Linked DNA regions of Saccharomyces cerevisiae S288C. The protein of the gene in region 2 interacts with the protein of the main gene of each other region in a biochemical or structural test. Each region holds a gene or a part of one and is shown on either strand. Other genes may lie near its edges. The genes, in order: IFH1, FHL1 and CRF1.

The links.
Region 1: the proteins of FHL1 (region 2) and IFH1 form a complex in vitro, tested with the Saccharomyces cerevisiae proteins (one study listed by BioGRID).
Region 3: the proteins of FHL1 (region 2) and CRF1 form a complex in vitro, tested with the Saccharomyces cerevisiae proteins (one study listed by BioGRID).

Annotation. Positions count from the first base shown.
Region 1 is NC_001144.5:578,342-589,978, forward strand, and holds IFH1 (Ifh1p), read right to left. Parts: upstream 7,150-11,637; coding exon 3,892-7,149; downstream 1-3,891. Other genes in the region: RSA3 (Rsa3p), read right to left, coding at 21-683; U3 snoRNA-associated protein UTP13, read right to left, coding at 977-3,430; UCC1 (Ucc1p), read left to right, coding at 8,123-9,232; YLR225C (uncharacterized protein), read right to left, coding at 9,354-10,577; BUR2 (Bur2p), read left to right, coding at 11,013-11,637. UniProt on the Saccharomyces cerevisiae protein: Transcriptional coactivator that together with FHL1 regulates the expression of rRNA and ribosomal protein genes. Its activity is negatively regulated by environmental stress.
Region 2 is NC_001148.4:728,874-740,349, forward strand, and holds FHL1 (Fhl1p), read right to left. Parts: upstream 7,561-11,476; coding exon 4,750-7,560; downstream 1-4,749. Other genes in the region: TMH18 (Tmh18p), read right to left, coding at 74-512, 609-655; YPR099C (uncharacterized protein), read right to left, coding at 884-1,240; mitochondrial 54S ribosomal protein mL43 MRPL51, read left to right, coding at 918-1,340; SNT309 (Snt309p), read left to right, coding at 1,619-2,146; 60S ribosomal protein uL5 RPL11A, read right to left, coding at 2,351-2,875; PRE2 (proteasome core particle subunit beta 5), read left to right, coding at 3,476-4,339; Golgi transport complex subunit COG4, read right to left, coding at 8,111-10,696; putative protein kinase ISR1, read left to right, coding at 11,188-11,476. UniProt on the Saccharomyces cerevisiae protein: Acts as a transcriptional regulator that recruits coactivator IFH1 to the promoters of ribosomal protein genes. Recruited to ribosomal gene promoters by RAP1.
Region 3 is NC_001136.10:907,052-916,938, reverse strand, and holds CRF1 (Crf1p), read right to left. Parts: upstream 4,841-9,887; coding exon 3,437-4,840; downstream 1-3,436. Other genes in the region: adenylate kinase ADK1, read right to left, coding at 1-453; HTA1 (histone H2A), read right to left, coding at 1,011-1,409; HTB1 (histone H2B), read left to right, coding at 2,227-2,622; YDR222W (uncharacterized protein), read right to left, coding at 5,638-6,885; GTB1 (Gtb1p), read right to left, coding at 7,501-9,609. UniProt on the Saccharomyces cerevisiae protein: Transcription factor, corepressor with FHL1 of ribosomal protein genes. May be involved in the blocking of the spread of silencing.

The DNA.
Region 1 (11,637 bases), on a different chromosome or scaffold from region 2:
AAGATTTAAAGCAATATTTTTCAGTTCTCCATTTCTTTATTTTTCAAGACCAATTCTAGTTCACCAATATCAAACATTCCTATGCCTTCCTGCAGAGCATCTGCCAAAATGGATAGTGATTTATTCGTGAAATCCGGGGCAGCTCTAAGACGATTGATATCATCACCGTAGTTTTCAAAAAGTAAATTTAAGTATTCTTCCCTTAACTTTGTCTTGTCTTTCCCTTTGGGCACAAAGTTTTCTGCCAATTCATTGTATTCTTCTCTCGCAAGCTTGATATTTTCGGCAATTTTCGATGCATTCATAAAACCCTCCTTGTTTTGAGATTTCGTAGGCTCTGGGATCTTGCTCAAAGAAATTTTGGTTAAATCGTCTATCACTTCTTTTGAATTTAACTTCAAATCCTTGCTTTCTTCGTCTGTAAGCTCGACATCCGAAACTTCTATTGCAATGTCCTCTTGTTTGTCTTCGTCATTACCTTTTGAGAAAACATGATCACTTTTACCATTTTCTCCAACGTGTTCTTCGATGGCCCCATTTTGGATTTCCTCCTTTTCACTTTCTGATGATGGATCCGATGATGAAGAATCTGATGATGAAACATCAGCTGTTCTTCTCTTCTTCCTCCTTCTGTTTTTTTTGACAGACTTGATATTTATGGCTGATATATCACCTGCCGACATCCTGTATAATATATTATGGCTAGTTCTTTCCGTGCTATTTCAAGTGGGCAGTTTAAATTCTTGTATATATTACTACAATATATGAAAGTTTTCGCTCTTCGTTTTTTGCAAATTTTTAGTGATGAGCTCTTCGCGCAAAGAAGTTTTCAATGCCCGTAAAGGCACCTAATTATATATCGAATTATTTTAAGCTTTCCGCTTCATCAATGCATTTTGTCTTTATATATCTAGTTTACAAAATAATATGTTGCTATTGCCTTGCTTTTAAAGGCTCAATATCTTGGACTTACTGCCTAGAATAGCTTATCCATTTCCACTAGCGCGTAGTCTAATATGTAACTTTGTTCAACTAAGTTATCAACCCTTGTGAAATGCCTTTGCGTGTATGGAATTATTGCATCAACTATCTTTACCATTCCGGGTATCTCACTCAATTTTGCTATGTTATGATGCATCAAAATACATCTTATTGTTCTTTGCGCTATGGTATGTGTTTTTGCATTTGTATTCCAATCTCTGCATCGTTTCATTAACAAAATTAACTGTTCATCATTTAGGATAGAGATGGCTTGGTCCAATTCTTCATTGAAAATGACTTCAATTTTGCCCTCTTCGGTATCTTGTCTAGACCTTGATTCGCCCAAAGCTCTTTTCAAAACATTAAACAACCTCATTGGGTGATCTAAAGTCATTGCTAACAAAAATGCATTTGTCCAATCACCTTTGCTCATATAATTTTGAAGCGATTGTTCTTGTTCGACTTGTAATTTAGCTTTTTCTTGTTCTTCTTCTATTTCTTGTTCCGTACAATCTTTCCAAAACTGAAAAACACCATCTGCATCAGCACTTACGATCATATCACCATCATTCATAGTACTTAAAGCCCATAATCTATTATTATGACCATCCAAAGTCTTCAGACATTCACCGCTAGAACAATCCCATATTTTGATCAAGCCATCAGCACCACAACTGATCAGTTGTTTTTGCTTATTAATAAACGAACATCTTTGAACCGCATTGGTATGACCTTCCAATGTTTTCATAACGCTGAATGTATCCAATGACCATATCTTGACTGTTTTATCACCTGAAGAAGTTGCCAATAATTTATCATATTGGCAAAATGATACATCCCATAGTCCACGCTTGTGGTTGGCCAACGTGGCTTCCAATTCACCATTTTCTAGGTTCCAGATCTTACAGGTCTTGTCGTATGATGCTGTTGCAAAAATAGAATCGTTAGGAGAAACTGACAAAGCATTGATATCCTTTTCATGGGCATGACGAGTATATTCGGATACCTTGATGATTTGAACATCCATACTAGCAGTTGGCTTTGGAATTATCCATTTCTTAATTGTTAAATCATTCGATGCTGTCAATAAAAATTCAGGATATCCCTTTGAAACTATATTTGGCAATCCAACAGCAGTTACGGCAGCTGAATGACCAATATACTTGGCATAAATATCAAACTTGCAGCTGTTCTCATTGTATCTCCAAACAATAGCCGTATTATCTTTAGAGGCGGTTGCGATCCACAGGCCATCCTCAGTAGCATCCAATGAATTTAGCAAATCTTCATGACCTTCATAAATTTCGACATCCAAAGGCAGCGAAGCTTCTGGGCCTGATAAATCGGGGACGGGTATTATCCTAAGCGATGGAGAATTGGTAGCTAAAGCTAATTTATTCAGCTCTGGGCCAACATACCTCATGTCAGCAATAATACCATGATTACCAGCAATGCTCGAAGTGACCTGTATTGTGTCTTCATCATTCTTTAAGTCTTCTTCAACGTTAATTAGTTGTAATGTCTGGTCAGACAATACTAAAAACATCTGTGAATTGCTCAATATTGGAAGTACACCAATAATGAATAACTCTTCTATAGGTTTATTGGTTCTTTTAAGCACGCTACCAGATTCAGAGTCAATTAACTGAAAGATAGCATCACCGCCGGCTGTATAAATTATGCGTTTACCGTCACCATCCTTTAGGAATCCGCATGACTCTACCTGTTGATTTACTGGAAGTGTTTTCAACAATTTACATTTCTTTTTCATATTGAAATCCCAGAGATTGATGATATCGTCTCTACCACCGGAAAGTAAATTTAGGCTTGGCTCATCATTATCTGGTACCTCAATGATATCCAACCCTCTCACAGCAGATGTGTGCTCTTGTAATGTGTGCAAGCACTTCCTTTTAACAAGATCCCAAACCTTTACCATACCATTGGTGTCACCGGATGCTAATAACCATATTTTACTATTCAATTGTCCATAAAACTTCAAACTGGAAATTGTACCACCATGACCTTTGAACGAATGAGTAATGTAACCATTTTCAATATCCACAACAATTATACTACCATCTGTCCCTCCGACTGCGAGAAGCGTTGAAGTGGAATCTGCGTCGAGAATGTACGATGGAGAAGAGATTTTCATTGATCTGACAACTTTCCCGGTCTTAAGGTGAAAGATTTTTAAAAGCTGAGCTTGTGAAACATACGTGAGATATTGACCATCAGGAGTTAATTTCAGTGCAGTAATTTCTTGCTCGTCTTCATTAGAAATCTTGTGCAAAATTTTTCTGGAGCCTGGGGTTAAATCGATTATGTTGATTTCGTCAAGCACCGGAGTAGCTAGTATTTTACCATTTTCTGAAACAGTGGCAACAGCACTGCTTCCTGCATAAATAGGGTTTAACGATATACCTTTATATGAGGTTTTCAGATCCATATTGTACGTAGTATGGCTTACTACCGTTGAGAGTACTATGTTGTTGGTTCACACCTTTAATGCCATACCGCTATTATATCTGAGAGCGATGAGCTGAATTTTTCAGAAAATTTTCAGTCGCTTTACACGGATATATTAAGAAGCTCCATCTTAATCGCCAGAAGAGTGGATGAGGTTATCATCTCAACTAGAGTCGAAGAGTAAGGCAATCCATCAAATGGGGTTGCTTGAGGCTTATTTACTTTTATACGTCTGATTGGACGGATTATACCAGTAAAAAAAATATTGATTGTGTTTTTCTATAAAAATATGCATATATAAGTAAAAAAATAACATGTAATTCTTTTCAACCAACGATAAAGCAAAATTCAGAGTAGAATAAGGCAAAGTCACATACTGATGATGATATTGTAAACGAAAGGTGATTTGATTGTAGTAACCATAAAAAAATGCAAAATAGCTCATTGTAAGACGTCATTGAATTCGAATGAATGGTTAACATCATTGCCCATAATTCCTTCGATATCTGCCAATGCACTCTCACTAAATAAACCATTTTTAGTGAAACGAAGATTTTCAGCCGCTGCTTCCACCATACTTTGCCTTCTTCTCCACATGGAATTACTATTTTCATGGCTTAATGTATTGTCGAATTGCACAGGAGCGGTTAACGATGCTAGGATATCGGCGTCAGTATCTTCGATCACATGACCTTCTTGTGCATCATAACCGTTAATATCACCTACAGACAGTAAGTCATTTTCATCTTTGCCCAAAATCTCATGAATTTCATCTAAACCAACACTTTTTGTTGAATTTTTCCTTGTATTGCTGTCCACGGCAAGATCAGAATTATGAGGTATTAATGACGCATCTTCAGGTGCGTGAGAGGGAAGTTCATTCATAGGGGTATTTTCATTGGTTGTAAAATCGGTACCGGTATTTATGTCGCTATGGCTGTTATTGTTACCGATGATCTCATGGCCATTGATTCCCAATTGTAAATTCATAGTTTCTTGCTCCTTTATTGCCTTTTGTCTTTGCTTTCTTATTTTAAGAAGCTTCTTTTTTTTCTTTAACTGCCTTTTTTTTTCAGTTTTTTTCCGTTGTAGCTCTTTCATCTTATCAATCTTCTTTCTTGTTCTTTCATTACCAATATAGCCAATGGGAACTTTTCTGTTAGAATTTGCTGGTATCATGTACTCATCTTCTTCATAGGCATTAATACCCTTATTTCTAAATGCAGATAATGGAACCTTAGGAACTTCATACCAATCTGCAGCATGGCCATTTGTGCTTTTGCTATTAATTGCATCATTGTAATTGTTCTCCATATCGTCTGTGTGGGATGGTGAATCATCCTCCAATTCACTCATGTTTAGCAGCTCATTGAGTGTCAATTCGTCACCGTTATTGCCATTAGAGCTTCCCTCTCTTTTAACATCTGGGGTTTGAGCCCTTTGATGTTGCTCGCGAAGCTGTTGATGTTCTTGGATTAAGGCGTATAATGATTTAGTAGACAGACCATCAATAATACTAAAAGGTTTGTTGTCCGTCTCCCAAGTACCCAATTTTGGTGGACGTAATCCAACAACATTTGAACTTACGATTTCCTTTGCTTTTGAGCCAATGTTTTTTGACCTTGAACTTGGGGGCGGTAGGTTATCATCTTCATCTGTGGATTCGTCATCAACGTACACAACAGTCTCTAAGAGATCATGTTTGCAATCTTTGGATCCATCAGAATTTTCTTTGTCTGAGTTAGAACTTATCAAAGAGGAAGATCCATCGCTGTCGTAATGAAAGTAAAAAGAGTCTGGATCTAAATCATCGATGTCTATGAACACATTTGTCACGCTGGAATCATCGTCGTCGTCTTCGTAATCGTCGTCCAGTTCTGTGCCAATGTCTAAGCTATCTGAATCTAGTGCCCTCAATTCTTCATCCGTGTCAGCATCGTGGGACGTTTCAGATTCACTGCATTCATCATCTGAAGGCATATGGGCAACATCCAACAAAATGTTATCATATTCATCGTCAGAAGAATCATATTTCCCGGAATTCAGGACCGTACTATGAGTGGATGGTTCCAGATCATCATTGGATTTTATCAAATTCGAGCCTTTATTCTTATGTTCAATATGACTTTTGCCCGATTTATGCCTGCCTTTCTTGCTCTTATGGCCACTATTTTCATCATCTGATTGAAAAAAAACATTGAAAATATACTCATCATTGTCCACATTGGAGGTTGTTCTCGTACTAGGTTTTTGCGTCTTTTTATAGAGCTTTCGTCTTTGTTTCCTTTCTTCCTGTTCCCGTTTTTTGGCCTCTTTCTTTTTTAGTTTAGATAGTTTTTCATCATTTAGCATTAACGGTAAAGATGTACTCAAGGATAGCTTTGGCTCTGAACCATCGCCATAATAATAAAGATTTGCAAATTTAGGATCTTCATAAAACGGCATATCAAAATCAGACATTATTTCATCTTCTTCGTCATCTTCTTCATCATATCCGTTTTCTTGATTGTATTCATTTTGCAAAAATTTATTTTCAGCATCTTCTACAGGATCAGACCCTTCTTCGTGTATACTACCATCGAATGAGAGTTCGTCGTCATTTTGTAGCTCAGAAACAATGTTTTGTTCTTCTTCTTCCAATATGGGAAGATCGTCTTCCCCCGTTTCAAGATCTGTACCAATTTCTCCATGAGAATCTTCATTGTTAATCACGTCAAAGTACGCATCCTGGTCAATATCATATTCAGATTCATCTGACTCTGAAATATTGGGAAATCGTAACTCATCGTTGTTACCTAACATCACCTTAGAATCCAGTTTATCTTCTTCATTACCATTGTTCTCTTTGTTTTTTAAATCCAAGACTTCTTCACCTATATCCTCGTTATAGCCTTCATTACCATTACCAAAACTAATGCCGTCGTCCTCTTTTTTGAATTTAAACGATAGCGCCTGTTGTGTAGTAGTAGTGCCTGAACCGTTTACTTCTTTTTTGTTTGATTCTTGTTGTTTTTGTTGCTCTTCTTTCTCTTTTTCTTTTTCTTCTTTCTGCTCTTCTTCATTTTCTTTCTTAGGGGATAGTTTAACTGATTTATTTTTGTTACTGTTCTCACGAGAGGAATAGAGTGTATTGCTATTTGTATTCATGGCAGATAAAGCTTTCATGGCTCTTTTCTTTCTTTGGGCCGTCAGTTTGACAAAATCTATATTCTCGTCATCAGAACTTGTTTCGCTATCACTATCACTATCACTTCCGTCATCATCATCGTCGTCGTCGTCTTCGTCATCATCTTCTTCTTCTTCTTCACTCTCTTCTTCTTCATTTTCACTCTCTTCGCCATCTGTTACAGCTTGGTAATCGGATGACTCTGTGCCCTCGTCGTCATTGTCTATTTGCCTTTGTATAAGTTTACTTTTTTTTCCTTGGGAATTATTTGAAATGTTCTTTGCTTTTCTTTTAATTTTATGTGGGTTTGTACTTTTGTTTTTATCAGAATCAGATACGTCACTCAAGGATGACTCAGAAGAGTATATAAGGCTAAATCTTCTTGGCCTCGTTGTACTCAGTGTGGGTGGTGATTGCCTGGACTTTGTATCGGATTCGCCCTTTTTTATGAGCCTTTTAATATTTGCTGGCAGTTTACCAGAATGTGTACTATGATTGATCGTACTTTTTCGAGGACTTTTTTTGCCTGCCATTTCGTTCTGTTTCCAGTTTGCCGGTTGTTTTTTCCTTATTTGTTTATTTGCTTCCTTGTTGAATTTCCTTCAATTTCAACAAGCTTGAAAATGAATTTCGTAGAATGAATATTACTATGTTTGAAATGGTTATTGCTTATGATGCTCACCGAAGTTAAAAAAAATATTATAGGTTTGTCCTATGTTAGAATTGTGGAAAGGGAGGAATGTAATAAATAAGCAGTAATTAAATATAGCCTTTTGAAGAGTTCCTCCTTTTAATTTCTTGTAGCAAGTGTTTCGAATGTATTCAAATATTACCAATGATTATACAAATACTTACAGCAAGTCAATTAAAGAGCCGTAAAAGCTAAACGTCAAAACGTGTAAAGCACCTATTATCTAGTCTCTTTTCCCTAGTTGTACTTTAAATCAATTTAGTGATGAGATGAAAAAAAAAAAAAAAAAAAAAAGAATTCCAACGAAAAAGAAACGACGGGCAGGGCAACCTTTAGAGATTTCAATCCGTATAAAGAGATGTAGTAGGCAGTACGGGTAACATCGTCACAATTCATAATGGAACTATCTAGCTTTTGCTTGATTGCAAAGTTCTACACCCGTTGATACTTCAAACATCTTTGCAATACGTAGGTAGGGGTCGCGTACTAGCAGCCTCCTAGTTAAGTGTATCTTTCAATCGCATTACGGAACAACTAGGCATCCCGAACCCCACACGGAAAAATCGGAACAATAACTGAAAATTTCCTTTTTCTTTTTTTTGCTCTTCAAAGTCTCTGCCCCTCTATTGCGTACTCGATTGATTTTTTTATCAAAGGCCATCTCAGACAAGTAGATCTACATTGGAGTTTCTCATAATATTATCACTATCGGAAGGTAGCATAACCTTTAATAGAGTTTCCGCTGTTTGCTTGGCTCGTTTTTTTGTTTGTACTATGCCTATTGGCGCAAAGAAGACAGAGTGTGCAAACAAGAGATGAATCAGAGCGATAGCAGCTTGATGGATTTACCACTGGAGATACATTTATCATTACTAGAGTACGTGCCTAATGAACTTCGTGCTGTCAATAAATACTTCTACGTTTTGCATAACCACAGCTATAAGGAGAAGAGTTTGGCGTGGATAGCTGAGGACAACTATATATGGGCCGTTGTCAAACATTCATTATGTTTATATGTCAAGAGTTTGGACCCACTTCGACAGCATGCCAGAGAAATCATTCAAGAAACGAAGGAACCAGGTTTTAATGTGCCACTGTGCATGACTAAATACATCGCAGATTCTTGGTATATTGTATACAATGCGCTGCAATATCCTGGAAAGATAATTAATATGGGATGGGACAAATATACCAAAAGTCAAGATTCAAATGGTTCTGATTCTACCAGTAACTTTAATAGTCGGCCCAAGGAAAGAACTCTTATGCAGTCGTTGACAGCTTTACCTGTTAACTTTTGGTCCAGGAGGAAGGACGAGCCTACACCGGTAAACGTTTGGTTTTATGTAAAAAATGCGCACGTTGCCAGATACATACCGAAAATTATTACGGAAATAGGCATATGCAACTATGGGCCGAAGCAGATCGTGGCAAGTGCAGGATATATCAACGAATTGATAACATCTGAAGGAATATACTGTGTTAACCTAGGCCACCTTCCCAGGCTATACGATGAGCAAATTTTTGAAGGCACTGGAACGACACATCTTCCCCTGGAACTGAAAGCTATCGACAGGACAGATTCAGATGTTTGTATCAATGGTGATTTAGTTCTACTCGGTTATGACTTTATTCCATATCAGATATCGAAGCCGTGGTTACTCTTTAGAATCGAACCCGTAAATAGCATTGAAGCAATCTTCAACTATAGTGAATGTTCTTTTTCATACCAGTTTGCATGGAGTTTGGCCTGCTTACAATCTGAAGAGAAAATTTCATTTCCTAGAGACACGATAATTGGGCACGGTTTACCTTACAAGCCATCCAAATTGATAAGAATTTTCGTCTACAAGCATCCGGAACAAAAGCAAGATCTTGGTCAAGAAATAGCATTGCCCAACTGGAATACCCCTTATCTTCGAAGATGAAAAAAAAATTTATCAATTAGTCTATAATATATGTGTATATACGTCTATGCACCTACCTACTTATAAATGGATATAATATTCTTGCAATGATGAAAATATGTATAGTCAAATTTCATTTTTTTCAATTGATAAATGTACTTTCAATGATGGAAACTCCTTCATCGTCATCGAATTTAGACTTCTGGCAGAATTGGTAAATGAATGGCTTCATGTTTGCCAGATTTTCAGCAATAGACCTAATGAAAGCGGGCAGCTCACTCATTATATCGTACCTATTGACTAATCTTAAATTAGATTCTTCAAAACCACGCGGAAATGAAATGGATGTAGGATATTTCCAACCATTTTGCTTATCCTCTTTTGTAGATGGAAATTTAACAGCATGATCATTTACACTTGACCCGACCTCCAAAATTTTGTCCTTATCACTAACCGCCCATATAGTCACTGTAGTGCTGCCATATTCTTTTGTTGTGGTGAATTCAATACACATCATCGAACGCTTCTCACCATTGAAACAAAGAAAATTCCATTTACTAGCCGCCTTATTGGGTATTAGCCCCTGGACAGCATCCAGATACAACATAGGCGTGTCCTTCAAGTCCAGCTTCACAGGTTTATCGTTTTTCTTGTATGAGATGGTACCATTGCAAAAACCTCTAGGAACAAAAACATGTCTTATCATTTTTCTGGACGTACTAGAAGAGTCTCTTTTTGCTAACTCTTCCAAGCTGATGCTCTTGTCAAGGTAATAATTGGAACCGTCCGGGTTTATTATGAATCCTTCTTGTAAATTTACGGTAATGTCAACCTTCAAATCTTTTAGTAAACAGCTTGTACTTCCCTTCGGAATATCTATCTTAATTAATAATTGAGCAAATCCACTGGAGGAAGAATTTTCCAAAGGTACGAAGTGAAACGTAACATTGTCCGATTCAACTTTTAACGTATCAAAATCTTTGATATTATCAATTTTAAAGCTTTCCCATATATCAATGTCTTCTTCAGAGTTTTCCTCACTGCTGGCTTTAAATATTTTGAAATTTAACTGAAAACCTTTGTATATACCGCCCATAACACTGGAATATAATAGTTGAATTAATCCACATTTGCCGTTGGTGAGATCCGTAAAATACAGAGTTTGTGTCTCTATTCTTGTTTCCGTTGGATTTCTTACTGCTTTTAATAAACTATGTGACTTGAACTTTTTGTGATTTGACGTCCTGCAAAACCATTCTAGTTTCGATGTATCCTGAAATTTAGTATAATTAGCATGATCCTTCTCGGATAAAACTTCCTTAACGGGGGCAAATTTCGTCTTCTCCTTTTTGATCGCAACCGCCATTTTTTCTTTGCTCTATGATTTTTATGTTAATTAAACTGTTCGTTGCCCTAAAATTTTGAAAATTTCTCGAATATTTAGAGAGAATCCGTCACTATTTTAGTATCTATCTTGTCTATTTATATATAAAATCTCATTCCCCTGTTATGGTTTTTGCCAAGCCCTATCCCAAAAAACCAAATGATACATGATAAACCTATTTATCCTCTTTAACAGACCTATCGTTTAAAGCTTTTTTATTGCAAACCCTATTCATTATGGCTTTTTGACCTAGGTCTCATTGTGACTTCTATTTTTCACTGTTCAGTAAAAAAAGAAAAGTGATTAAAAAGTATCACTATTTCTGTTAGAAAGCAAGTAGCTATTTTGATTGGTAATTATATACACATATTGAAGGAGGCCGTAGTATTTTCGTTTAAAATATATTACAGTAAGATAATGTCTGCTACATCTTCAAGTGGTGACGTGAAAAAATTTCAAGCTGTACCAAAACCAACGAGCAATGCATCACCACCACCAGCATCGAGTGGGTTTAACGCAAGGACCCTATGGCCGGATTTGATAGAAACACCAGAAAACCAGTGGGTTTTTGAGTGCAAAGATATTATTGAAAAGATAGGCACTAATGGACCGATAGCAGTGGAAATAAAAAAAAATATGGAAAAATGCTTAATGTACTTTTACACACTTAAAAAAAAATTAAATCTTTTTGATCACACCTATACGGCATCATGCATTCTATTTTACAGGTATTGGTTCATATATGGAATACCTACAGCCATAACTGAATGTATTCATATATCACAGGGAATTCTGGTCACCGCTTGCAAAACAATGGAGAATAATAGGCCTATAGAGGCCTATATTAAGGCGACTTGTGAGTTTTTGATGCAAAATATACCGTCTTTAAAAAGTCGAACAAATATTGATAAACTTAAATGGGAATTTAGAGATAAGTTAGTGACGAATGAAAAAAAAATACTATGTTTATTTGGCTTTGACTTAAATATCAGTAATCCAAAAGAATTGATTGAAGAAGTGTTCAGTGGCTATTATAGATTCA
Region 2 (11,476 bases):
GAACTTCATCTCCACCTTGGCAAAGGAATGACGAAAAAATGATCTTGCATATATATATTTACTTGTAAAATAATTATTTTGGAATTTTTCTTAACAAACCACCTGACAAACAAACACCGTACGCAAGCATCCCGCAAACATTAGAAAGATTGAACAAAAGACTCAATCCGTGCGACTTGCCAAATTCTTTACGTAATATAGCATCCTTTGCTTCCAATTCACTACCCGTGTATTTCTTCGCAATATTCTTTCTTTGTTCTTTAACTTTATGGGTCCAGGGCAACAACCAAAACAAATTGGTTAGCCCACTGACAGATGCAACCACCAAAGAAGATAATGGTCCTGTTGTCAAGGCAATTGGAGCGGTAAGGGCCAGGATGACAGGTGATGCCGCTTGCATTTGGAAAAAATACGGGAAGATCTTATTTTGCAAAGCAGAAAATTGGTCTTTTTCAAGAACTTTGAATGCGATTGGAGAAGCTACATAGGAATAAAACGTCGTTCCTCCAAATCTGAAAGATTAAGTTGGTACATAAAAGTTGTTAGTCAGTTATTCTCAATTAATCATAATTGTTCAAATTTTTTCTTGTGTCTTAATCTGTACATACACAAAGGAATAAAAAAGCAAATGAGCCGTAGTTTTGACTAAACACATTTTTCGTTGTTAAGTTTACTGGACTGTAAAGCGTAGTTTGATCTGCCTATATCATCAAACAACTCCATTTAACTCCCTTAAATAATACTATTCTTTTCTGTAAGTTTATCGCACTATACGTTACGGTGCTTTCCGTCTTTTTCGGATGAGGGATGCTCATAAGAATTACAACAAATCATAAGCCCTGAGATAAAAAAGATCAATCAATACGATTATCATAAACCATGACTAAGTAGATACACAGACACGAATATATGGAGAAATGGTTGTGAAAGCTATTGCACGAAATTCCATAGGTCGTAATGGAGTTGGAGCATTCGTGTTTCCATGCAGAAAGATTACTTTGCAATTCTGTAACTGGGGAGGGTCTTCGGAAGGCATGAGGAAATTTTTGACTTCAAAGAGATTAGATAAATGGGGCCAGGAGTTCCCATGGATACAGTTTGAAGTGATGAGGAAGTCTGGACATCCTTTGTTGAGGGCAGAATACACAAATGGGCGTGAAAAAGTTATTTGTGTGAGAAACTTGAACATTGACAATGTAGAAAACAAGCTAAAGCTATTGAAGGATTCTGATGGAGACATTTTACGCAGAAGAACAAAGAATGATAACGTGGAAAGCTTGAACAGTAGTGTGAGGGGTATATGGTCGCCTCTGCATGCTGCGAAAAGGCATAGAATTTAGCTTTAGTATATAAGAAAATTCTAGAAATAGAGAGAGATAATTATACTTGTATATATAATTTGGGGCAGATAAGACTCCTGATATTTAAGATTTAAAGTCAATTTTGCCATTGTTATATGATCATGTCCTGAAATATGACCTCTTGTATTTGGTTACCCGCTTTACACCCTGCAAATCACACTAGTCTAATAAATATGGAATAAGACTGAAACATATAAAAGATGTAACTTCTAGGATATCTGAAAGAGCAACCGTACGGTATTCAACGTTTAGATTTGATGGACGGCCTTAGCTTTGTTGATAAAGGGAAAATACCAGATGGTTACAAAAATGAAATAGATCAATTAGTAAAGAAGGAATTTGCGAATATAAAAAGAGAGCCTGTTCATCCCGAAATACGAGGTATACTTGCGAAGAGAAAGGGGGCCGATAATAGTGTTTCTACGCTTACAAATGCATTGTACACCGAATACTTGAAACAACGTAATAACAAAAAAAGGCGAACACCGGATTTTAATGACGACGATGATACTTTATTTTTGGAAGAGTATAGAAGGAAATACCCGAGGATTGATACTTCCAGATACATACCGAACGAGTCTTCCGAAGTTAGCTTGTTAGGAATTGTAGATTCTTATTTAAAACATCAGGAAATAGTTTTGGATACACTTCTACCGCAAACGGTATCGAATCAATGGAGAATTAATAATGATTATATTCGTCAAACGTGTACTATAGTGGAAGAAATGAACATCCAGCAGAGGAAACAAATTAACGATTTGGAAATATACAGAAAGAGGTTATAATGTCGCAATGGACCTTTATTATTATAAATGTGGCGGCAAATCGTGGAAGGATATTGGATCGCTCGCCATAGAAGTCCTTAGCGCGCATGTACAATAACATAGAGTTTCATCTTGGTTTAAAATTCATAATTTTATTAATTGGTTACAAAAAAAACATAGATATGAGTATATAAATGTATTATATTTCTTCACAAACTAATTAAATTATTTGTCCAAAACATCAGCATCGTACTTTTGCTTGAACCAAGAGACGGTGTCTTCCTTAGTTGTCTTGTGGGAGTTACCAACGGTACCCTTACATCTCTTTCTTCTAGTGACTCTAGCACCTGGTCTGTTCATGACGACATAGAAATCCATACCGAAAATACCGATGGATGGGTCATACTTGATACCCAAGTCAATGTGTTCGTCAATACCGAAACCGAAGTTACCGGTAGCAGAGAAGTTTCTGTCTCTCAATTGGTATTCCTTGACCTTCAAACCTCTTTCCAAAATTTCTTCAGCCTTTGGACCTCTGACGGTAACGTGAACAGCAATTTTTTCGTTTCTTCTGATACCGAAAGTTCTGACAGTGTATCTGGCCTTGGATTGAACTGGAGTTTGACCAGATAATTGCTCTAAAACCTTGGAGGCTCTGGTCAATCTGTCACCAGATTCACCAACAGAAATGTTTAAGACCAACTTTTCGATCTTCAAATCACGCATAGGGTTTTGAGCTTTGGCAGACATCTTTGGCTATGTTTGTATGTTCTTGGTTCACCTTCCCTTCCACTGAAAAAAAAATAATATTAGTTGAAATACAATAAAATATGAACTAAGAAAGAAGCCTGCGGTTACTATCAAGATGTATCAAACAATGAAACTTTCGCATAGCTGAGTGGTAAGTGGGCTACCTTTGCTAGTGAAACAATAATTCCCTGCAAAGTGAAAAAGTTCGATTGGAAACTGGTCACGTGGATGTGAGTCTATTACCCGTAGAGTCTGCGCGCTGTTTGCGTCGCTCTCTGTATTTCTATGGATTTCACCGTTCTTTTTTCATTTATACAAAAAAGACAGAACTTAATGAAATAATCGCATCGTCAGTACACCCATACCTTTAGGATGGTTGGATGTTGCGCTGTCGCAGGAAAGAGCCTCTCCGGGTATTATGTGATATGAGGGAAAACAGCAAAAGGGTGGCAAAACGAAGAATAGCACTCCTTCAATAATGCAAGGTGAATTGTAAAGAAAGGCTTCAATATATCAATTTTCAAAAGAGAATAACAAATTTACTATTAAATTGAATAGATAGAAAGAAACCAGAAAGAAAAGAAGGAAAAAAAAACAAACATGCAAGCTATTGCCGATAGTTTCAGTGTACCAAACAGATTGGTTAAGGAACTTCAATATGACAACGAACAAAACTTAGAGAGCGATTTCGTAACGGGCGCCTCCCAGTTTCAACGTTTGGCACCATCGCTTACGGTTCCACCAATTGCGTCTCCACAGCAGTTTTTAAGAGCACACACAGATGATTCACGAAACCCAGACTGTAAAATCAAGATCGCACATGGTACTACAACCTTAGCATTTAGATTTCAAGGCGGTATTATTGTGGCAGTAGATTCTCGTGCCACTGCCGGCAATTGGGTTGCTTCTCAAACTGTGAAGAAAGTTATTGAGATCAACCCATTTTTATTGGGTACAATGGCTGGTGGTGCGGCAGATTGTCAATTTTGGGAAACTTGGCTAGGTTCTCAGTGTAGGCTGCACGAGCTGAGGGAAAAGGAACGTATATCTGTCGCAGCCGCATCCAAGATTTTAAGCAATTTAGTATACCAATATAAAGGGGCCGGTTTATCAATGGGTACTATGATCTGTGGTTACACTAGGAAGGAGGGCCCAACCATTTATTACGTCGACTCAGACGGTACAAGATTAAAAGGTGACATATTCTGCGTTGGTTCAGGTCAAACATTTGCATATGGTGTTCTAGACTCTAACTATAAATGGGATTTATCCGTTGAAGATGCTTTATATCTAGGTAAGAGATCTATTTTAGCTGCTGCCCATAGAGATGCTTACTCTGGTGGTTCTGTAAATTTATATCATGTTACCGAGGATGGTTGGATATATCACGGTAATCATGACGTAGGTGAACTATTTTGGAAGGTCAAGGAAGAGGAAGGATCTTTCAACAACGTTATTGGCTAAATAGAAGCATCAAACATATGTATATGCACATCTATATTAATGATACATTATTCTCTTCAAGGATCCAATATGGCTTCCCATAGAATTATGAAGGAAGTCCAGTTCTCATGTTTCCAATCATCACATCTATATATTTTTATATAATTATATCTTTAAGTATTGTTCGGTAATATGAGGACAGACGCCATCAATGCAAACAAAAAGTGAAACCCGAAATCAAACGAAGTGAATAAGTAGTTGTAGAGGCGACCCGATGGAAAATTTTGTAAAAATCGAAGACTGAATCTCAACAACGCAAAACAGAATAGGACGCATAGATTCATACCTATTACTATGGCTTGATCCGATCTATCTTTATGAAAAGATTTATGCTTCTACTTCGAATATGCTAATACTATTATCGAAATTTTTTAAAGTTTTTCCTCAAGGGATACATTTACTTCAGTGATACCCTCGTTGATATCCTCGCTGACCTTCCGCCTTTTAGAATCATGACCTTCTTCGTCGGTTTTTGAAATCTCGCGATTATCATTGCTACTATTCTCGTCTTTAGATGGAATATCATCTTTAGATTCGTTGTTTTTAATACTTTCACTATCGATCTTTTCGTTTTTGTTGTTCTTTTCATCTACTTCGCTTCCACTATCACTTTCGCTTTCGCTTTCACTACTAGTGCTGCTATTATCGCCGCTTCCACTAGCACTACCGTCATCGCTACCACTATCGCTCTCGCTTCCGCTCTCACTACTGGAACTGCTACTACTACTAGTGCCGCTTTCACTTTCTAAGTCGTTGTCCTGTGCAGGCTTAGGTTTGGGTTGTGCATCAACATTTTGAGAAGCAGCCGCCGGAACTGACGTAGCTGCCACAGAGGATGTAGCCCTAGCATTTTGTCTCGGTTGAAAAAATCGAGACAAGGACGAAGGATCAAACGATCCCGGTTGTTTATCATGCAAGTAATTATTGGGATGGGATGATGCCGACGCAGATAACTGAGATGGAGGCCTATCTGGTACATGCGGCGTCTGGACTATTGGTTGGCGTATCGGTTTGGAATGCTGTGCCTTAGCTGCTAAAGCCGCCGCCGCTGTAGTTTCAGGGTTCACTAATTGCTTTACCTCACCTTTTGTGACTTTTGCAGTTGCCGCGTTTACAGCAGCTGCTAAAATTAGATTCAAATGCTGAGGATTCTTGTCCATCAAGGCTGTAAGTGGATTACCAGTAATCCCCTTGTTTTTTGCCGCTTGTGTAACCTGATTTATTGTCATAGCTAGAGCCTGCGTCAAAATTGCAGCGATGACCTGCTTCGATAAACCCTTTCTATCTCGTGTTAAAATGACAAGCTGTTCCTGCAGATATTTCATTGTCCTTTGATTATCACTTGCTGTATTTTTCCTGTTCGAGGCGGCTCTGTTTGCTGCAAGAGTTTGTGAGATGTTTTGTTTTCTCGCATTAACGTTAGATCTCTGCGAAACAATATCTTTTTTGCCCCTCTGCGGCACTTGCTGAAGTTTGTGCTGTTGCTGTTCAAGTTTTAATTGTGCAGCTTGTGCCTTTGCCACAGCTATCTCACTTTGTTTCTTTTTCTGTCGTTCCCTCTCTGCAATATATTCTTCATCAAGACCCCATAACCATCCTTTGCCTTCTTTAGAAACCTTCCTGAAAGATTTATTTAGCGATAAGTTGTGTCTTACCGAGCTTTGCCACCCATCAGGACAGTATTTATAATAGGGGAAGAGTTCTCTTATTCCTGCATAAATTTCAGATAAAGACATTCCCTTGGCAGTCGAGTACTTTCGTATGCAAGTAGTTAGCATAGCAGAGTAAGATACAGTAGGTTTCGTTCTATATTCTACTGGAATCTCCTCCAAAGTATATACTTTCTTTGGTATTTTCGGTGGCTTCTTTTCTTTCTTAACAGCTGGTTTGGTCTGCGCTTTCTTGGGCTTTGCTCCAGTTGTAATCTTTTTCTTAGATTTGGGCTCGTTTTTTTTGAGATTTCTTGTATTTATTTCAGATTCTGCTATGTCAGCGTTTTCTGGGCTTTTGCTATCGTCGTTACGTTCTTGTTCTGGTAAAATAAATTGAAATGGAATTTGTCCAATTTGAATTTTTGTCTTATTACGAAGTGGCACAGTATTTCCTTTTTCAACGAAAATGTCATCCACAAAAGCACCATTCTTCCCTATTATGGACAATTCGAACCTTCCTGTCCCAAAATTGTAAAAAATCTGGGCGTGTCTCCTCGATATTGATTTTGAAGGACCAAGATTAACGTCAACTTTGTGGGAGAAGTCATTCTCAGACCTCCTTCCGATTATTGCATGTAATGTTTGTACATAAAATGTGAAACTTTGAAAGTCCAGCCTTGCATAGGCGAAGATAGTCGGTTGTTCATTCGGTAGCGGTAAACTTGCATCGATTGGCTCAGATAGTTTTCGTTGGGTAGTTTCAGCATCTGTACTATTATTTTCCGTTACAGTGTTTTGTGGCGGTTGTCCCACTAATTCATGCTGCTGAAACATTATTGGCGTTATTGAATTGTTTCTCATATGCAGCATGTTGTTTTTTTCATCTACTAATGTTGGTAGGGTCTCGGTATCTTTGTTTACTGATAATTTATGCACATCTGTGTATATAGCATCAGCAGTGGGTTCATCCTTTTGTATACTTGTATCTTCTGAGTTCCTTATGCCTTCAGTTTTCACTGCTGCTGTGTTATCTTGAGTTTTCTCCCTTTCGTCCTCATCAGGGTTTACTGGCTCTATATTGATATCTTCTTTTGATGAAACCTCCCTGCTGTGATCATGAGTTAAATCGATGTTATTTACAGGATCCATGGTGTGGGATAACAACTCATTTGAGTTGAACAGAGCTTCATCATTTTTTGCATCAAATTCCAGTAGCTTCGAAAAATCAGCGTTATCAAGGTTATCAGGTAATTCAAGTTTCAAATTTCCATTATCGTCTGTAACAGGATTCTCTACCTCGTTTTCAATATCAGTAGTCGTGTTTTGAGGATGTTTTTCCTCTGTTACTATATCAGAACTTTTTGGTAGTTTTGTTTCAATCGGTACCTCGCTTGTCGGTGAATTTGTTATGCTTTCTTTGGTTTCTTGGTCTTTCAATGCGGAAGAATCTATAGTAAACTGTGTTTCAGTGGTAGGCGATGAAGTCCCGACATGATTGCTGCTTTCTATTATTGCCATTTCCCCATCCATCTTATTCTTATATTTGTATAGATATGAGTGGGTTTTTGTTTTGAGCGGCTAGACGTTAAATCAGGTAAAAACCAGTACCAGGTATATTATGGTAATAAAAAAAGGAGAAAATAAAATGCTTTCAAATACAAAATTAATATTCGTGATGACCTTCTACAAGAGAAAAAAATGTGCCAATAGAAAAGTCCTATTTATCCAGCCCAGAAGATAATAGCAAATATTAATAGACTTTAAACTAACTCAAAGGATGACAAAGTTGGCCTTAGAGAAAGAGCTACTCCTTTCTTAGCTTGGTGACGGAATATATTTCAAAGGTTCCTTTGTTTATTTTTTATTAACGCTTTTAATTTTTCTTGTCTTAGTCTTCGTAATTTCCAGTTAATCGCAACGTTCAGAATGATAGTATGGCGCTATCATGTTGTGCTCTTTCATAAGAAAAATAAGAAATGTATTAACAGTCAAGAGTATGCAGAAAAGGTACAACAGCCAAGATTATGTTTGCGTTTATATGAAACTACTTAGTATTCAGCTCGTAAAGCTTATGTTATATTTACTGTGTTCTATCAATCTTCATATTTCTAGCTTTAATTCTTTCCTGAGAGTTTATCACCCAATCGAAAGTACCATTGAAGTCATCCTTGATATCACCTGTAGTCAAATCAAAATTGTCATCATCTAAACCGAGAAGCAACACGATTTGTGTCAATTTCAAGAACTTCTCTCTGAGATTATAGTTCAAGCCACACATATTGCCGATGAAAAGGCTCAGTTCTCTATCTAATTTCGTAACACCAAGTTCATTGAATTCTAGAGTCCATATTCTTTGCTCCAATGTTGTTACGATGTAGTCGACTATGACAGATAGCAACTCTGCATATGCTTCGTTGTGAAGAATATTTTTGTAAGGGATAATCAATTGGTTCCATTTGCTATTGAAACTGTTAATTTGCGACAAATCTTCGAAATCTTCTATGCTTGTGATGTAATTCTTTTGGTTCGAACCTGCAGAATAATCGCGAGACACATTTTTTTGATTGGACGTTGAGGAATTTGATGAGGCTGAATTAACAAAAACAGTTCCCAATAAGTTCCGAACCCTATTTTGTAGGATATTTTGGAACAAGTATTTGACAGCCCATTTGCTTAGCTTATCTGTTTGTTCCAGGACTAATTTTTCTGAGTTTATAATTAAATTCTGTAACTGCGCTGCATCATTGTCAAAAGGGAAATTGTCTCTCAAAATCCTTTGCGAATCGTCTTCTAATATTTCTATGGATAACAGCCTGTGAACGTATACTTTACTCAAGTACAACGTGTTCAGATATATCAAATAATGGTGCAACGCAAGAATGGAATCCTCGTCCTCTGCAACTACGGCTTGTAAATTTGATTGAATATTTGTCAAAGCGCTAGCTGCTGCCCCTCTAAAAGTGAACCTGCTTAGCGGAGAAAACTTATTTGCAGGTGGAGAAACCGATCTTGATGTTGCAGATTGCTCCTCACCTTTTGGAATGTATCTTTTCAAAGATACATTGGAGGCTAGTTTCGATTGTAGTAACTTAAATTTGTTTTGCATAAATTTTACCAGAAATCGGTTCTGAAAAAATTTTACCAACTCGTTCAAAAAACTTGCTAAGAGCTTAAACTGGCCAGTATTAACCACTGATATCAGATTTTTCCGAACTAATAAAATTAAGTCATCTAAAACAGATGTTACAGGGTATGAAATGTTATCGTGGTCATTGAGGGGAACAGCAGTTATAAGATCGTTCAGTGACGGTAATTCTTCTAGTGAAATACTATTTCTAAATGATCTCTGCAGATGGTTCAACACAAACACCTGAAACTCATCAAAGACCTTATCTTGCTTTAACTTTAAGGCAAATTTACCATCTGCTATTGGTGGAGGTGGTTGCAATACATGCGGATGCAAATCGCTAAATTCATTCCATTTAACTGAATAAAATCTAGAATACATGGACCAATTTTGAAGTATTTGAGAAAATTCCATTATCAATAATGCCAAGTCATGAATGGATATAATTGAGCTCTTTTCCGTTTCTCCGTCTGTTTCGATATCCGACTGATTACTGTCTATATTCACATCTTCATTCTTTTGTGAATGTTCCCATTCATTTATATCATGTATAGTCCTTTCTATTTTCCTCGTCTCCATAAAAATATCTAGAATCAAACTAGCTTGAAGATCAGCTTCTTTTTCTACTTTTTCCATGACATGCACCATGTGCTTTTTTCCATAACACGTGGCGATGACTTTTGAATGATCATTTATAATGGTCGATACAATTTTAAAAAGATGTAACAGTACTTGTGAAAAAAATCCTTGAAACTTGGTGCTGTTTTCCATAGAATTCGACATAATTTTCCTGCTTTCGTCCGCAATAATATCACAGACATATTTGGAATACAGGTCTAAACCAAGTACGTCCTGCCCAATCATAGGGAACATTTTGAACATTAAGGTTAGCTCTTTAATATCCTGTGTTCTTGTTGCTTCCATGAATTGCTCCTGAAATAAACTTGTCAGTTCCTTACACCAATTCTTTATTAGTATAGCTGGTTCTTCGGGAATTTCACTCGAGGGCACAACTTTCTTGGCAAACTCGGATACAATAAGTTTTTTATCCGGAAGGCTTCTAATTTCATTGATTGCTGTCGCAGCAACTAAGTAATCCTTTGTTTCTAAAGCAGAATGCGCCAGTGAAATATTATTCTTTAGCGTCCTGACGTCTTTTACAAATTGTAACGTTTTGTTGACCAAAGCGCGTTCCTGATCTACAGTTTCAATATCGTCATGTATAGCTTTTGCTCTTGCGTTCGAAGAAGAAATGGTGGCCACAGTCTCATGAAACTGAGTCAAAGTAGTCGTAAGGTTAGTTCTTTGCAATTCTAATTTCCGGGACTCTTTGTTGAGCGATGATTGCGACTGTTGCACAAATGCATTTAATTGTTTAGATTGTTTTGCGTAATCATTGGCTATCACTTCAGACAGCTTGTCTATTTGAGATAGTGTCGATAATTTGTCTAATAACAAGGTGTACCTTGCTAGATTTTTAGACAATTGGCCCTCGATGATCGAGCTCTCCCATGATGCATTCGATTTTTGCCCTTCCATCAAAACTTCACCCTTTTAGAGCCTGACAATACAGTATCGTTAGTTTGCGCTACTTCGCTGTCCCAACGAATTTGGTTTGTTTTCTATGTTCTATCTCTATCCCACACTTTTTTCACAATTCCTTTACAGGCGAAAATTCAAAAAAGTGACGTAAATGGAGTTCTAAAAGCTAAAGCAACAAGTTAATAAGGTTAGAAGATCGTAAATGTGTTTCAAAAGTTGCTTACCTCCTTCACTATATCTCAGCTGCTTGTATAGCCTATGACGAAAATTTATGTTCCCTAGCAAGGATATAATGTGTCAATCAACATGATCGCAAACCAGCTAGATTGTGATGTATGGGTCTATCTTATTGTTTATTTTGACTAGCATTGAATAAACAAAAAGCGCTGCTAATAGATTCTTGCCTTTATATAACGGGGATCTAACCTCATCAACAGCAAAAATCGTCTTAAAACACATCTCAAAGACTAGTTCTCAAACGTCACGCTATGAACAGTACACCTCCTACGTCACCCGTCACCAGGGTTTCTGATGGTTCCTTTCCATCCATAAGTAACAATAGTAAGGGTTTTGCTTATCGCCAACCGCAAAAACATAAAAGTAACTTCGCATATTCACATCTGGTATCTCCTGTAGAGGAGCCGACAGCTAAATTCAGTGAGGCATTCCAGACAGATTATTCTAGTAAGGCGCCCGTTGCTACCTCGGAGGCGCACCTAAAGAACGATTTAGACGTATTGTTCACTACCCCCCGGTTTTACTCTCCGGAGAATTTGG
Region 3 (9,887 bases), on a different chromosome or scaffold from region 2:
TGGTGGGTTAAAGATCTTGTGGTAGGATCTGCCAGAGGCTGGGTGAATTAATCTACCGGTAATTCTGGCAACCAACAATTCATCATCAACCTTCAATTCGATGGCTTTTTCCAAAGGAGTTCCTTGTTCTTTCAACATTTGGTCCAATTTTTCAGCCTGAGGAATGGTTCTTGGGAAACCGTCCAAGATGAACCCATTCTTACAAGCTGGATTGTTGGTCAATTCATCCTTGATCATGTTAACCATAATGTCATCAGAGACTAAACCACCTTGGTCCATAATTTTCTTTGCTTCCAAACCTAATTGAGTGCCCTTTGCGATTTGAGATCTCAACATGTCACCAGTGGCCAAGTGAGCGGCATGGAAACGCTCTTGCAAATTTGGAGCTTGAGTACCTTTACCGGCACCAGGTGGGCCAATTAGGACCATTCTAATGGATTCTGAGCTAGACATTACTGTTATATTTGATGCTGTGTGGTGACTTTACCAGAGAAACGTTAATGTTTCTTTATTAAAGCTCTCGTTTCTGATAAACCAGGTAATCCATTTCAGAAATTTATGCGTATATATATATACAAATATGCGTAATAAAACTAGCCAGAGTGAAAAAGTCGAAAATCAAAAAAAAATGGGCGAATAAGGACAGAAGCCGCGGGCTGCTGCGGACAGTTCTCCGTGACAGGATCGCGCAATCGTGAGCTTTTTTCCTTTGGTTGTGAAAATTTCGTCACACTATCAAAGTGAACAAAGCACAGAATGTGTTTGCTACTCAATCATGTTCAAGTAAGCAACAGTGCCCAATGAACCTAAACAGAGCAACAGAGAAAACAGGAAGACACAACAAAAAATTTATATCATGCATGACATATGTTACCGTTAATTATATACCCAATAAATTATATATAGAAAAATAAAAAGGAAAAACAGAAAGGTCTAATAGACACTTAATATAGTTACAATGGAGAAGCAGTTTAGTTCCTTCCGCCTTCTTTAAAATACCAGAACCGATCTTATAATTCTTGAGAAGCCTTGGTAGCCTTGGCAGACTTCTTTGGCAACAAGTTTTGATGGATGTTTGGCAAAACACCACCTTGGGCAATGGTAACGTTACCCAATAGCTTGTTCAATTCGTCATCATTTCTGATAGCCAATTGCAAATGTCTTGGAATAATTCTGGTCTTCTTGTTATCCCTAGCAGCATTACCAGCTAATTCTAAAATTTCAGCGGCCAAATATTCCAAGACAGCAGTCAAGTAGACTGGAGCACCAGAACCAATTCTTTGGGCGTAGTTACCTCTTCTTAGCAATCTGTGCACTCTACCGACTGGGAATGTCAAACCAGCCTTAGCAGATCTAGATTGAGAAGCTTTAGCAGCTGAACCAGCTTTACCACCTTTACCACCGGACATTTTATATTTTATATGTATGAAATTTGTTTGTTTTGAAGTTGTTTATTCACTGAGAAATAACCAAATCCGTATGATGATGTAGTATCAAGAAGAGAAGTACAGATTGGAAGTAAATAGATGATGGTTCAACAAGACCAGAAAATCTACAAGCTGATTAGGAGTCTTATTTATATATTTTTTAGGTCAAGACTTATTGCTAGTATTTACGATCCACTGGCTGGCTTCGTGAACGGGGAAGGGGGTGAGAAAAGATTTTGAAATCAACAAAGTGGGCAATAACAAATAACAGCATGAGAAACCACATATCTCTACGGGCGTTTCTTCAACAACGACGAGTTAACTATTGTGCTCTTTTTTTGAGCCACCAAATACACTCCATTCCAATAGCTTCGCACAGTGAGGCGAAAATTTTGGAACAGCGCTAATGAATTATTTGTGAGCTCGGCGAGTTCAAATTTGAAGAAAACGCGGTTGGGTCGTTAACTATGGTTAGACGCTCAATGTCGCCCGAAAGGGAAGGCTGTTCTCACTTTTTCGCGCGTTGCACCCTTTCTTCCGCGAAAAAATGAGAACGATGGATTTAAAATCAAGAGAATTGGCCTTAGTAGTGGCAAATACTACCTTGGTTGGTTATCTTGTAACGATTGGTAAGAAAGGGGCATCTCTGTTTTCTTGATGTATATAAACAACATGATTTGATCATCTCAGATGGTCAGATTTATTAAAGACGTTTCTCTTTCCGCATTTTCGATTATTGTTATATTAAATTTATCCTATATAGACAAGTCAAACCACAAATAAACCATACACACATACAATGTCTGCTAAAGCCGAAAAGAAACCAGCCTCCAAAGCCCCAGCTGAAAAGAAACCAGCCGCTAAAAAGACTTCCACTTCCACTGATGGTAAGAAGAGAAGCAAGGCTAGAAAGGAAACATACTCTTCTTACATTTACAAAGTTTTGAAGCAAACTCACCCTGACACTGGTATTTCCCAAAAGTCCATGTCTATCTTGAACTCTTTCGTTAACGATATCTTTGAAAGAATCGCTACTGAAGCTTCTAAATTGGCTGCGTATAACAAGAAGTCTACTATCTCTGCTAGAGAAATTCAAACCGCTGTTAGATTGATCTTACCAGGTGAATTGGCTAAGCATGCTGTCTCTGAAGGTACTAGAGCTGTTACCAAGTACTCTTCCTCTACTCAAGCATAATGAAATCACTTCCTTTGGTTATAATTAATATTATTATTTATATGGGTATATAAAAATTAAAGTAAAGTAAAAAAAATTGTATAATAGTTTAATAATTTTAATGATTATAAGATATTTACTCGGTTGTAAAATTGTGTTCTCGAAATTACAAATGGTCTCATAGAGGGAATGCGCTTATGCGGCAAGGCAGTTTACTTGTAAGACTAATTATAAGAAGAATAAATAGTGTTGCTTATTAATGACTCAGAAAAGTTTCCACATGATATTTATTAGCTTTCGAAACTTCAGAGCATTGGCTCGTGTGAACAATACTAGATTTTTCCTCAAATTTTAATTCGTATTGCAGTTGCTAACTATTACAATTTTTGTTTATTTTATGCCTTGGAGATTGAACCCTCTGTTGTGATTAACTTCCTGTAAAAACTCCACGCAAGAAACAAAATATAAAAATAAAAAAAAAATTGGTAAAAAAATGAACAATAGAATACGCACGTATAAAAAAATACTAAAAATAAAATAAATGCCACCGACTCTATAAGTACACAGCAATAGTAATTAAAAAAAGACAGATGTCGCTGACTGGATCGTCAGCTGCACTTCAGTATTCCTTGATCCTCTCTCAAGTGGATCCATCCATTTCGGCCCCTAAATTTTTCTCCATCTCATCATACGATATTCCAAGTTGATCTTCGCTGACTAAGTAGGTTTTCCTACTATTCTATGACAATTCAAGTAGTAAAGTGCTTCTATTTTTTCGCAAACGATCATATTTTCCTTTAAAAGACGATAATGATTCTTCTGGAATATCAAATAATCACTCGCCTATGAGCTCAATATGGCCATTGGATGCCTTCTCTACTTCGAGTCCGCCTATGTTTAGAAGGTCGGCTATCATAGCATCATTATCAAATGTTGCATCTCCTTTTTGATTTTCCCGTGAACTTACTGAGCTTGAGCATGAGCTCAAACTTTCAGGAGTATTTATGTCATCACTCAATGGGTACAGCGATTTTGTGCACAACCCATCGATAACACTAAACGGTTTATCACTTAAAGACCAAACGTATAACTTTGGTACTTTTATTCCAATTCTTTTAGAATCCAATATTTCGCAAGCTTTATGGCCAATTTTCTTCCTTTTTCGATCTGGGGTTGGTAAGCTCTCGTCTTCATCTGTTGATTCATCATCTCTATAAGTGACCTCATCAATGTTGTAATCACTATCATAACTATCATTCCTTGGGCCTTCCGAAGAACATGTGAGGTTGGATAAGTCTTCTCTTGAACTATTATAGAGGCAATCAATATCCTTTTTCCTTGTATTAATAGCGACGTTGTCTAGACTAAAGGTGCGATCAGGTCCATCGAGCTCTACTTCGTCGATTTTATGCACATGCTCGTTGAGATGAAAAAAGCTAGACACATCTAATGTAGAAAAATGATTGCATTCACTGAAATGACCATCATCCAAGTTAAGGGGCGTACGGTCCTCAAAACAACTGCTACTATATTTTTTTTCGAGTGGTCTTGGATTTTTCACTCCCTTATCCGTACCATCCATTGGTGTCAATATCACGGCCTCATCAAAGTCGACATCTGATTCCGTTTCTGGATATTGGTGTGTAATACCTCTATTATTATTTATCGATACTGTTTCGCAACTATCGATGTGGTTGTCTACTAAAATATCAACACCAATGTCCTCTTCATCTTCATTAGTTGTTGAAGCCGAAGGACTGTGGTATTGTCGGTGAGATTCACTTTTACTTGTTGGCAAACCGAGCAGTACTACAGCCGAATTCGCCCCGAAGTTTACATCGCGCTTATTACTGACATATGTAGTATTGCCAGCTGACGTGAGCTGGTCATTAAATATATTATCTGCTTCTGTCTTAGAGCTGCTGCCAAGAGACGTCTTTTCCTCTACCTCGTTGGTGTTTTCCTCCCTAGAATATTTATAAGAATTTTTTTTTTTCTGTCTATTACTACTTTCTGGTTTTAATCGTTTAGCACTAATATAGCTACTCTCAAAATCCGAGGCCTTACTTATAGAGGGGTCCCAAAGAGCATCAAAGCTGCCATCATTATTGGATGAAAGGACGACAGTTGAAGAGGACGACGAAAAGGAAGCAGCTGTACCTGTCTCTTTTGGCTTTTTTTTATTTGGACTGTGTGGCTTGCGCCGCACGGTACTGTTAACAGGCGCACTAAGCAACATTTTAAAAGACTTTTTTATTCCGTACTATACCGCTGCTGTTCAGTTAAATGGTAACCTTCTTATAACTTTCTAGTGACCGCAATAATTATATTCCTTCTTTTAAGAAATTTCTCGATACAATTATAGAGGGCTTTTGACTCATTAATCTTACTGGAACCATTGACAGATTAGTCCGAAGAAGAAAACTCTAAAAAATCCGCTAGTAAGATTCAACAAAAAAAAAGTCTGCTTGCTATGAAAGTCTGATTTCTAGAGTACACACCTCTATAGCTACACTCTCAACTGATTGCTTCACTTTTTGAAAGAGGAAGAAGGACAAGAACTGGATTCACAAACTCAACTACATCTCGGTTTATCCGTTTAGACCAAGGTTTTATATAAGGCGAGGTAGAGTTCGGAAAAGGAAACTTTCATCGACTTCCCTTAATGATTATTGATTCCCCTTTGCTTTCTCTCCCCAACATTTGAAATATGATTTCTTTTTATTTCGAAAATGCCATTCTTCTCGTTCCCGTGATGTTTTCAATATGCATGCGGCAAGGGGAACATGATATTTCCGTTCTATGGCTTACGCAAGTAAGAAGCATGGCGCAATGATGCAATAGTCCATGGGGGAAAGTGTGGCCTCAAAATGAAAAAAAAAAGTGATGATAAATTAGTTATTAGGTAGTGATTATGTAAAAAAATTCGATTACACATTAATTATTAGGTAAAGTTGGTAGAAGAAACAGGAGAGAAAAAGAAGAGAAAAAAAAGGACAAAAAACGAATTTCATGTGGAAGTGTTCACGCTTTTGTTCAACTAATGAAGGTGCTCTCAACGATAGAAATACCTTTCTCGTGCTTATATTTAGAAGGTTGACAGTATTGATAAATGAAAGGTTTGATGCTCACAATTTTCTGAGCTAACGACCTGACCATGCTTGGTAACTCACCGAGAACGTCGTATCGATTAACCAGCCTCAAGTCGTGTTCTGAAAATCCACCGGGGAACTTGATAGAGGTTGGATATACCCAGCCGCTTTCCTTATCTGTACTCGTAGCACGGAACCTAACATGACGTTTTGGGCTCTGCACAGAAGAACCAATAGATATCAGTTTGTTTTTTTCAGTAATTGACCAAACTGTTACGGTGACGTTATCATGATCTCGAGGAGTAGTGAATTCAATTGCTAAAACAGAGTAGTTTTCGCTCTGAAAACATAGGAAATTCCATTTACTGGCTGCTTTATTCGGCAAAAGACCTTGAACAGCGTCCAGATAAACGACAGGAACATCAGTTAATGAAATATTTTTATTTTGAAAGTCCCCACTATTGAGTTTTTTATCGTAGGAAATATTACCATTACATTTACCTCTGGGCACAAAAACATGTCTGATCATTTTGTCTGAGGAAACGAATTCGTCACTCATCGAGATTTGTTTGTCAAAATAATAATTGCAACCGTTGGGGTTCATCTTAAAACCTTGAAACAAATCCACCAACAAATCGATTTTCAAATTTTGAATTGTATTGTTACATGTTGGTAAATCACATTTGATAGATAACTGGCCAATGGAACCTAATTTTTCATTTTTGTTGCTCAAAAATTCAAAAATAACATTTCTAGAGACAAACTTTAATGGTTGAAATTCAGCTATGTCATCCAATTTAAAACTTTCCCAAACGTCGTAGTCAGTATTATTACTTTCTGAGCCAAAAACCTTGAAATTCAATTGGAAGCCTTTATAGATACCACCCATAACCGTAGAATACAGTAATTGAACAAATCCACACAAGCCTGTATGCAAATCTGTGAAATATAACGTTTGGGTCTCGACTCTGGTCTCCATCGATTTTTTCATCACTCTGAATAAACCTCTACCACCATCTGTCTTGTTACTTATGGTGTGTTGGTAGCCCGTTTCACTATCATTGTGACAATACCACTCCAATGGTTGGATGTCATTAATAAGAGTATAGTTCTTACTCTTACTTACCGGTTTTTTGTAATCTACCTCTTTAATAGGCGCAAACTTTATCTTATCACTGCTCGATTCAAGCATCACTAAATGAGTCTCTATGTATGTACGATGTATCTTATACGCCCTCACTGTCAAGAAAAGACAATACGAAGTACGGCGGCAATTGTCACTCAAGAAATTTCTTCATTTTTATATGACTATACATCGTAAACTCAAGCCCAGAGAAGTGAGTCTCCAGTAAACACTGTTCGTTATATCCATCACATTTAAAATCCGTAGGCTTAAGATTGCCAAAACATATGCATACAAATTCCAGTAGTAAACATGATTTTGGAATTCACTGTAATAATCTGTGAGACATCTTGGAAACCGGAAGAACAAAGATGAGAAAAAAAAAAAAAAAAAAATAAAAGCCGCATAAACATCGGCTAGACGGAAAAATTAGCATTACGTCTATGACTTAGTTCTCCGAAAAAAATACAAGCCGTGTGGGGTGATTACGCCGTACCCTTCTTTTCGCGTTATTCCAACAGGTCGTACAGAACTATCAGTATTTGGAACGATATACTTATTTATCGTCTTTTCGCGTTTTGGCCGAGGGAAATATTGCTTTTGTTGCGGAAAAGAGTATCACGGCACAGCATCGGCCTTCCTAGTTGTTTACTTACTAAAAAAGCCTAACTACTCATTTTCCAGTCATTCACTTAAATTGAACTTAGGGGGCTCGTATTCGAAAGTCTTGTTGCAGCCTAGAGGACCAACGACATCGAAGATGTAGTTGCACTTAGTCGCTTCATGTACACTCCGAATCTTGAATTTGTCGCTGCACCGAACAAATACAGTAGCCGATCTGCGCGGACCATTCCAGCACTGGTCTCCATTTTCGTATTCTAGTACCAGACCATTATTCAGTTCGTTTAAGTTCCCGAATACGTAATGTTGCATGTTACCGTCATCGTCCTGTATAGCTGCTAAGTTTGAAATCAAATCACTCTTCTCATCATATGTGGCCTTTAAATGTTCTGCGTATTTTTCCATGTTTAAGTCAACATTAAAACCTGATGTCTTAAAACGACCGATCAAAACTTTTTTACCGTCAACCTTATCCTCAGCTTGATATATGACACCTTCGGTCATTGGACGTTGAAAGCATATAGTGTACACATAGTTGTCCAGTATGTCGTCAAGACAATAGGATTGTGATCCCATTAGTTCTAAAAGCTCAGTCAGATTTCCTGCAGTAGAATTAGTTCCTTCATCTTCAGTTTCATCTAATAATTTCTTATAGTCCATTTTTTGCTTTAATTCATTCTCCAGGAGACTGACTTGACTTTCACAAGAGCGGAATCTCTTCTCTAATGAGACCAAATCTTTTCTAGATGAAAAAATATTCAGCTTAGATAGAATCTCTTTGAGTTTATTGCGCAAATCTCCAGAAGTACCGATATGATCGCTGTTCGTATCTTGTTCTGACTCAACAGCGTCTGGTGGCAATACCTTTGGTGCATTCTCGTTCACAAATGATGTTACTTCGCTCAACGATCTCAAAAGGCTCTCTGACGGGTGAGCTGGTTCTAATTCAGCCAGTTCGCCGTATTCACCTAGGTAGTTTTTATACGAATCGACAGCACTTTTGACCCCTGCATCTTGAAAGTTAACATTGTAATTCTGAGAAATATCATCCATAATCAAACGGAATTCTCTGATATACTCCAAGATATCGTTGGTATAGTTAATTTTACCCTCCACTAGCGCTTGAACAAAATTGGATTTTCCTATGACGTACCTCAACGTGTTCTCAGATTCTCTTTTCAAAAAAATTTGAGGTACTTCTTCTGTAAAGTACAAGTAAAGATTATCTGCCTGCTCATCATCAATTTTGCTATCTGCATTAATTTTAGCCTTTTCAGCCCGTCTTCTAACTTTTCTGAATTTTTTAATATTATCATTGACAACTTTATCATTTAGCGAGGGAGTATAGGCCTCTGATAAATCACTTAAAATCTTGAATATGTCCTGGTAACCTTTACTTACTCTTGAAACCATAGTGAACGATGTAAGGATGTCCGATCCCAAACGAGTACTGTTTAATTGTTCAAATTGATACAAAATGGGATCATGGCTTAATTGGTTAAAGTACTCGCCTCTCAACTGCTCTAATTTGGCTCGATTTTCTGAGAGCCTGTTGGAGAGTACTTTTATCTCGGCAGAAGCTTTTTCCTTATCTTCTTCTAAGCAATTACCACGGGTGATAGCCTCTTCCTTTGTACCGTATTTTCTTTCCAGTTCTTCTAGGGCCTCTTTACCTTCCCGGTAACTTGATAACTCTTTAGAGGCCATAATGTCAAATTCGTTTTTTAACTGAGAACAATTAGATCCAGCATCAAAGAGCTCATATCCAGAAAGTAGCTCGTCAGAACAGTCACAGCAGTCACAAATACCATCTGCGACTTCCGATTTTCGTATATATCTTGGAATAAACCCCTTGTTATCACAATAAAAATACTTATTCACTTTACCACCTCCCTCTGCAACGCTTTTGAATATATCTTCCACGCAGGCGGCGCTGCCGGGCTCATCTGAACCATCAGGACAATCACAAACCCCATCATTAATCTGGCTTATATCCAATACGATATCTTCGTGGTTCAAACAGTGCCATTTAGTCAAATCTGGTTCATTCGAGTCATACAAGTGCTGCTTTTCCCAGGGAACACCCACTATATGCCGTTGACTTTGTTGCAATGACGCTACAAGCGGCGATTGCTCAATTAATAGCAGAAATAATGAGAACATGCTCACCATAGCGAATCTTCTTAATGAAATAGCAGAAGTGCCTTTATGCTTCTTAAATGCAGTGCGGAAGCCTCTGCTTCTACCATAACATCTTCCAACACAGTCTTCATACACTATTATTATTCATTTTATGGCCGGGTAAGTATTTTAAAAGGCATTGGCAATACCCGTTTTGTTTTGACCCAAACAACTGTTTATCATTATTCCTGGTGCTGTCTTCTTAGAAACTATAAACGCTTGTGCACCTACCCAGTATTTAACCAGTTGGGAGGAGATAACAATATTTA